Oryctolagus cuniculus: one gene and its partner. The protein of the gene in region 1 binds, or shares a complex with, the protein of each later gene. Links are inferred from orthologs where the notes say so. Each region holds a gene or a part of one and is shown on either strand. Other genes may lie near its edges.

Region 1 (3,649 bases):
AGGCATTTGGGAAGTAAACCAACAGGTGGAAGATTTCTCAGTCTTATCTCTTTGCCTCTTAAATAAATTTTAAAAATCAATACATTTGGGAAAAAATTTTTTATTGCAGGCAGTGGCAGGAATGGGGCTAGCCACTTTGGTTCTCTTTTTCTCTCGTCTTTCCTCTGTACGTCTCCGTTCTTGTCAACGGGCAGCTGCTCTTGTCCACAGGACACATGCAAGGCCCCTGCCCGCAAGCACGAGTTACAAGGCCTGCTGCTTTACCACCTGCAACCTCATATCGTTGGGTGGAGAGGGGTGGGGCACTCAAGATCTCTGAGGCATGCTAGTGACAGGGACCCATGTCTGAGTTTCTGAGGACGTTGGACGTTAGCCCCTTGGAAGAACCATGAGCTGGCTCCTCTATGAGATCTGCAATGCAGAATTCAATGCCTGTTTGCTGCTGTTTATGTCTTTGCTTCACGTGTCAGTTTCAGAATGACTGGGTTCCCACATGAGACACTCATCCGGAGTAGTGCCGTCCATGACTTTGCACCCCACACCCTGTGTTCTGCTGTCCTCCTTTCTTCTGTGTCCGTGTTTTGTCTTCAGGCTCTGAACCTCTCTGGGACTGCACGGCTGGACTGCATGGACGCTTTGTTATTACAGTGTTGGGAAGAAGCCCGAGCTGCAGGTGTAGCTGTTAACTGACCTTTTCTGTGTCATGTCTAGGCTCGAAGCTGAAGGAGATCTTTGACAAGATTCACAGTCTGCTCTCTGGAAAACCCGTTCAGTCTGGTGGGCGCTCTGTATCCGTCACACTCAACCCACAGGGGCTGGATTTTGTCCAGTACAAACTGGCAGAGAAATTTGTGGTGAGAAAACCTTGCTCCTTGTAGGGGAGAAAAGGCTGGGAGACAGCGTTCAGGCCTCTAAGTCGGATCCATCTCTGTGTTCCAGAAACAAGGCGAGGAGGAAGTGGCCTCTCACCACGAAGCCGCCTTCCCCATCGCGGTGGTGGCCTCAGGGATCTGGGAGCTCCACCCCAGGGTGGGGGACCTCATCCTTGCTCATCTACACAGGAAGTGCCCTTACTCCGTCCCCTTCTACCCGGCTTTCAAGGAGGGAATGGCTTTGGAGGACTATCAGAGGTGAGGTGGCTTCCTCCTGACTTGCCCGCCCTACAGTGATGCGTGACTAGAAACAGCTGGAAGGTGTTTCCCCCCTACTCCCAGTGCCTCTGACGTACCCAGAGCGCACTGTCAGAAACAGCCTGTGGGCCGGCGCCGCGGCTCACTAGGCTAATCCTCCGCCTAGCGGCGCCGGCACCCCGGGTTCTAGTCCCGGTCGGGGCGCCGGATTCTGTCCCGGTTGCCCCTCTTCCAGGCCAGCCCTCTGCTGTGGCCAGGGAGTGCAGTGGAGGATGGCCCAGGTGCTTGGGCCCTGCACCCCATGGGAGACCAGGAAAAGCACCTGGCTCCTGGCTCCTGCCATCGGATCAGCGCGGTGCGCCGGCCGCAGCGCGCCGGCCGCGGCGGCCATTGGAGGGTGAACCAATGGCAAAAGGAAGACCTTTCTCTCTCTCTCTCTCTCTCACTGTCCACTCTGCCTGTCAAAAAATTAAAAAAAAAAAAAAAAAAAAAAAAAAAAGAAACAGCCTGTGGGTTTGGATTTAAGTCCAGTTAGTTTAGAGGAAGAACACTGGATCTGGAAGCCAGAGGTCTTGAATTTACCTCGCTTTTCACTTGGCAGCTTGGAAACAGTGGGCTAATCGTTCAGCCCCTGGGGCCTCAGTTCCCTCTTTATGAAAGGCAGTGAGGACCCCCTGCACCCCCTCGTTTACCGAGAGGCCTCCTCACGGGCTTACAGGGAGCACACGTCTGACAACAGATAGCAGTGCATTGTAGACCAAGTTTTCTACAGAAGTAGTGCTTTGTAATAGCATGTTCATAGCGGCAAAGGTGATGATACTCTGTTGTTGCTTTCAGCCGTGCACCGTCACACTGAATTGTTTATTCCCACACAGGATGCTTGGCTACCAGGTGAAGGATTCCAAGGTGGAACAGCAGGACACCTTCCTCAAACGCATGTCTGGGATGATCCGTCTCTATGCCGCCATCATTCAGCTCCGGTGGCCGTACGGAAACCGACAGGAGGTGAGGGGGAAAGGCTGGTGTCACCGAGGGATGTTCGCACCAGGCCCGTGTGGTGTTTGCCCTGTGCGGTGACTGACAAGGGGTGGGAGGCAGCTCTAGGTGTTGGCGGAGGATCAGATGCCAACACCTGAGACCTGAGCGCCTGCAGAGTGCACCGGGGAGAAGAGGAGTGAGCAAGAAATTGTCAGCGTAGACCTCCTTAGGCTAGAAATCACCTGGATCACACAGTTTCACTCGGGTGGCAGAGGGAGGCCTGACAGTGAGCCACGCCGCAGGGGCAGGCCTTTGCCCCACCAGCCCCATCCCTGCTCAAGGAATAGAAGAGATGAGCAGGGTGGACAGGCTAATGGACTTGAAGACCTAAAGAGGAAAGTACAAGTTGAGTGATTGTAGAAGTGTTTTTTATGTTTTTTTTGTTTTGTTTTGTTTTTTTTTTCAAAATTTCTTTATGGTATCTACAAGGCAGGGAATGGTTCATTCCCCAAATGACTGCAATAGCTAGGGCTGGGCCAGGCTGAAGCCAGGAACTTGAAACTCCATCTGGGTCTTCTCTGTGGGTGGCAGGGTTCCAAGTGCTTGGGCAGGTAACCAGGGAGCACATTAGCAGGAAATTGGAATTGGATGCAGCGCTGGGACTTGAGCCCAGGCAGGTTTGTAGGGGGTGTGGGCGTCCGAGCAGCATCTCAGTATCTGTCCCTCAGGAAGTCTTGATGGCGCACCCGCTGCGTCTCAGCTTTTGTGCCAAAGATCTCATGAAGAATGAATGAAATGTCAGCAAGGAAAACTGTCGGTCTGTGGAATCCCTGAAACTGAAGCCGACCCATGTGTATCAAAGGGATCCCCTACACCAAAATGTGTGGGTGGGTGTTTGACATAGCTGTTAAGATACTGCTGGTGTGCCGGGGTCCCACAGCGTGCCACCCCTGATTGCAGCTTCCTGCTGGTGCGCACGCTGGGAGGCTGCAGGTCTCAGCCACCCACACGAGACCTGGATTGAAATCCTGACTCCAGCCTGGCCCAGCCCCGGTTATTGCAAGCGTTTGGGGGAGTGACCAGTGGATTGGAGATCTCTGTCTCTAAAATAAGTGATATTTAAAAATTTTAAAAGAAGAGTGGTTTCAAAAATAAAAACAAAATGGGGCTGGCATTGTGTAACAGGTAAAGCTGCCACCTGTGACACGCATCCACTGTGGACGCCAGTTTGTGTCCTGGCTGCTGTACTTCTGATCCAGCTTCCTGCTCAGGGCCTGGGCAAAGCAGCGGAAGATGGGCCAAACGTCTGGGGTGCTACCACCCACCTGGGAGACCCAGCTGAAGCTCTTGGCTGTGGCCCTGCCCAGCTTTATCCATTGTCGCCATCTGAGGAGTGACCCAGCAGATGGAAGATCACTGTTTCTTCCTCTCTGTAATGCTTTCAGAATAAATATGTAAATTTAAATGAATAACGAAAAACAAAAAACAGAACTGATTTAGCTCATACCACTTCTGTCTGAGCATGTGCTTAGTTTAGATGA
Region 2 (3,649 bases), on another chromosome or scaffold:
AGCCAGGACTCAAACCGGTGCCTATGTGGGACGTCAGCACTGCAGGCAGTGGTTTTACCCACTATGCCACAGCGCCGGCCCCAGTAGTAACTGTTTAATGAGATAATTATATTCAAGCATTAAATTGCATATCCTATAGAGGTCTCTTTCTCCTATTGTCTAGATTTCTTTTTGTTTTAAGATTTATTTTATTTATTTGAAAGATAAGAGTTACAGAGAGAGGTAGAGACAGAGAGAGAGGTCTTCCATTCCACTGGTTCACTCCCCAGATGGCCGCAATGGCCACAGCTGAGCTGATCCAAAGCCAGGAGCCAGGATGCTTCTTCCAAGTCTCCCATATGGGTGCAGGGGCCCAAGGACTTGGGCCATCTTCTACTGCTTTCCCAGGCCATAGCAGAGAGCCGGATCGGAAGTGGAGCAGCTGGGACACGAACCCGTGCCCATATGAAATGCCAGCACTGCAGACGGGGGCTTTAACCCACTGTACCACAGCACCAGCCCCTAGATTTCTTAATAAATGCAGATCTTCCCTTATAATATAGATATCAAAGTGTACTATCAAGAATATTTTTCTGGGGGCTGATGATGTAGTGCAGCAGGTTAAGCTGCCGCTTGCAACCAAATCAGAGTGCCAGTTTGCGACCCAGCTGCTCTGCTTCCCATCCATCTCCCTGCTAATGCGCCTGGGAAGGCAGCAGAAGATGGCCCAACTACTTGGGCTCTTGTCATCCGTGTGGGAGAACAGTATGGAGTTTCTAGCTTCTGGCTTTGGCCTGACCCACCCCTGGCTATTGCCACCTTTTGGGGCAGGGACCAACAATGAAAGATCTCTGTCTCTCTTCCCCCTTCCCCCTCCCCCTCCCCCCACCCCCCGTTGCTCTACTTTTCAAATAAGTGAATAAATAAAGTATGTATGTACGTGTATATACCCATGCCCCATGGGTACAGGTGTTTAGCCTAGCAGATAAGATGCCTGCCCGCATTGGAAGGTCTGCATCTGATTCCCAGCTCTTGCTCTTGGCCCCAACTTTCTGCCAGTACAGACTCTGTAAGACAGCAGTAATGGCTGAAATAACAGGTTTCTTGCCACACATGTGGAAGTAAATAAGAATAAGCTATCTTTGTGATTATACATGCTCACGGTAGAAATTTTTTAAAAAACACAGATAACTCCCTCAGGGACTGGCATTGTGGTATTGTGGGTTAAGCTGCTTCCTGTAGTGCCGTCATCCCGTATGAACATGGGTTAGAGTTCCCTGCTAATGTGCCTGGAAAAGCAGTGGAAGATGGCCCGTCACGTGGAAGACCTGGATGGAGTTCCAGGTTTCTGGCCTCAACCTGGCTCAGTCCACATTGGGGAGTAAACCAGCAAATGGAAGAGATTTCTCTATGTGTGTCTGTCTCTTCCTCTTTCTATGTAACTCTGCCTTTCAAATAAATAATTTTTTTTAAAAGAAACAGTTAGAATTCATCAAACAGAGACCATCACTATTAACTTACTGATGTACATTTTTCTATATATATTTATATTATTAGTAGCTATAATTACATTGTTTATCCAGTATTTGAATTATATCCTATCCTTTTCAACATCATATTATGGGCACTTTTTCCATGTTAAACAATTAAACACATTAAACCTTATATATATGGTACACACACACACACACACACACGCACACTTGTTTGAGCGAGACAGACCAACAGGCTCCCATCTGCTTGTTTACCTGCAATGGGCAAGACTGAGTCAGGCTACAGCTGGGAGCTGGGAACTCAGTCCAGGTCTCCTACATGGGCAACAGGGGCCCAATTACTTGAGCCGTCACCTGTTGCCTCCCAGGGTGCAGGAAACTAGAATAAGCACCAGGGTGGGTTTCGAACCCAGGATTCCAACATGGGATTCAGGCATCCTAACCAGCAACTTGACCACAAGGCTAAACATTTAGCACACAATTTCACACTTTTATAAACACATATTTTAAAAACTGAATTTGGCTGTACAGTGTGGAGGAAAGGTACTTTATTATTTGCATACCATTTTTTTTTAAAGCTCTCTGATGTAAAGGATGGAATGAATCAAGCAGCCCCTACGTTTGGATTTGGCAGTGGGCAAACAACAACCTTTGGATCACCAGGTAAGTGATACATGCAGACCTTCACTGATTTAGAAAAGTCGAACTTAAAAGGCTTCAAGTTATAAAGCCGAATCACCCATGCAGATTCTCCCACCTTACATTAGGCAGCATGGAAGAACTGGCTTGTCAAGCATTTGTGTGAGCAAGGCCAGAATGGGCATGATGTTTAAAGGATCCTACGATTGGGGAATGATTATTTCAGGAGTTTCACAAGAATATGTAACTATGGTGGCAGCACTTTCGGGAGGTTTCTGTTGCTCTGTGTACCAGCAGGGCACTGTCATTACAGCTGTGAGATGGGGTGACAAGCTGCTGGTGAAGTCCACCCCCTGTTCCCTTAGCTTTTCCTTGGGGTTGGGGTAAACCAGAGTGGAAATGAGGCCCATAGTAGAAGAGACAGGGCTGTGGGGTTAGTGTGTTCTAACTTCCCAACCTCAAAACATGGCAGAAATAAGGACAGCAGGGAGTATAACATAGCCTTGTCTTCTGACTGTAATAGATTTTTCCTCCTGTATTTTGCAGGTTTTCCAGTGAAAAACAGCAGTAATAATGCTCAGGTCTTTAGCTTTAAACTAAACTCTGGATTTGGCACTGCCCCTTCTGGAAGCCAGTCAGTGTTTGGGGGTCCTCCAACGTTTGGAGCAGTCCCCTCTGCCGGTTCTGCCATCTCTACTTCCACTCCAACTTTCGGATTTGGGAAACCTGAAGTCACATCTGCTGCTTCATTTTCATTTAAAAGCCCTGCAGCTTCCAACTTTGGATCGCCAGGATTTTCAGGATTTCCGTCTTCCTTGGCGGCAGGCCCAGCCGGAGCCCCAGCAGCCCCAGCCTGTGGCAGTGGCGGTTCTGTGGCTGGTTTTGGTCATGTGAGCTCACAGTCACAGACTGCGTTCTCTAAGCCATCTAATGACATCTTTGGAAATGGCAGCATCTCCACCCCTCTCCCAGTATCAAATGTCATTGTCACAAAAGATAACGTGTTATTTACAGCCAAGGATCAGCTAACAGCAGAAGAACTGGAACAATTTCAATCCAAGAAATTTACTCTGGGAAAAATTCCACTAAAGCCACCACCTCTGGAGTTTCTAAATATTTAAAAGGATGCTTGCTTTTAAATGCAAAAAAGAATGTGTTTTGAAATTATTTTGAGCGGTTCATATGAAAAAGCAGACACACATATGCATATATGTACATATGTAGACATACACATAAGGAATATAAGGTTTTGCATTTTCACTTTTTTCTTAAAGCTAATTATTTAAGTAAAACAACAAAACTACTTAGCAAGAAGGGAAATTTTTTGTACTGTAATTATGAATACAGCTGAAAAATTTGCACTGAATAAAGTACTTTTCTCATTGTATACCACTTGTCTCACCCTTTAAAATGTTATCTTTAATTTTTTTTTAGGAAGGAGATAATTTATTGAGGGGAGATGCTCAAATGTTTAGCTTACTTGTAGGATAACATTGGTGGCAAGACTTCATGTGGAAGATTCTCTAAAAGACATAACT

What was found.
Region 2: the proteins of GLE1 (region 1) and NUP42 are in contact, whole or in part, in a crystal structure (PDB 6B4I), measured with the Homo sapiens proteins. The link is inferred for Oryctolagus cuniculus from reciprocal best matches to the Homo sapiens genes GLE1 and NUP42. Residues at the interface, in NP_001003722.1 of Homo sapiens: Ile385, Ile593, Leu598, Asn599, Trp602, Arg603, Ala606, Gln607, Leu609, Asn610, Gln636, Tyr637, Gln638, Val639, Gln640, Lys643, Met644, Ile646, Leu647, Glu650, Asp651, Tyr652; in NP_001357375.1 of Homo sapiens: Asp185, Asn186, Val187, Leu188, Phe189, Gln202, Phe203, Gln204, Ser205, Lys206, Lys207, Phe208, Leu210, Gly211, Lys212, Ile213, Pro214, Leu215, Lys216, Pro217, Pro218, Leu222, Leu223, Asn224, Val225.

What each region holds. Positions count from the first base shown.
Region 1 is NC_091432.1:231,797,244-231,800,892, forward strand, and holds part of GLE1 (mRNA export factor GLE1), read left to right. Parts: intron 1-711; coding exon 712-854; intron 855-939; coding exon 940-1,130; intron 1,131-2,005; coding exon 2,006-2,135; intron 2,136-3,649. UniProt on the Homo sapiens protein: Required for the export of mRNAs containing poly(A) tails from the nucleus into the cytoplasm. May be involved in the terminal step of the mRNA transport through the nuclear pore complex (NPC).
Region 2 is NC_091447.1:15,175,035-15,178,683, forward strand, and holds the end of NUP42 (nucleoporin NUP42), read left to right. Parts: intron 1-2,050; coding exon 2,051-2,135; intron 2,136-2,657; coding exon 2,658-3,232; 3' UTR 3,233-3,498; downstream 3,499-3,649.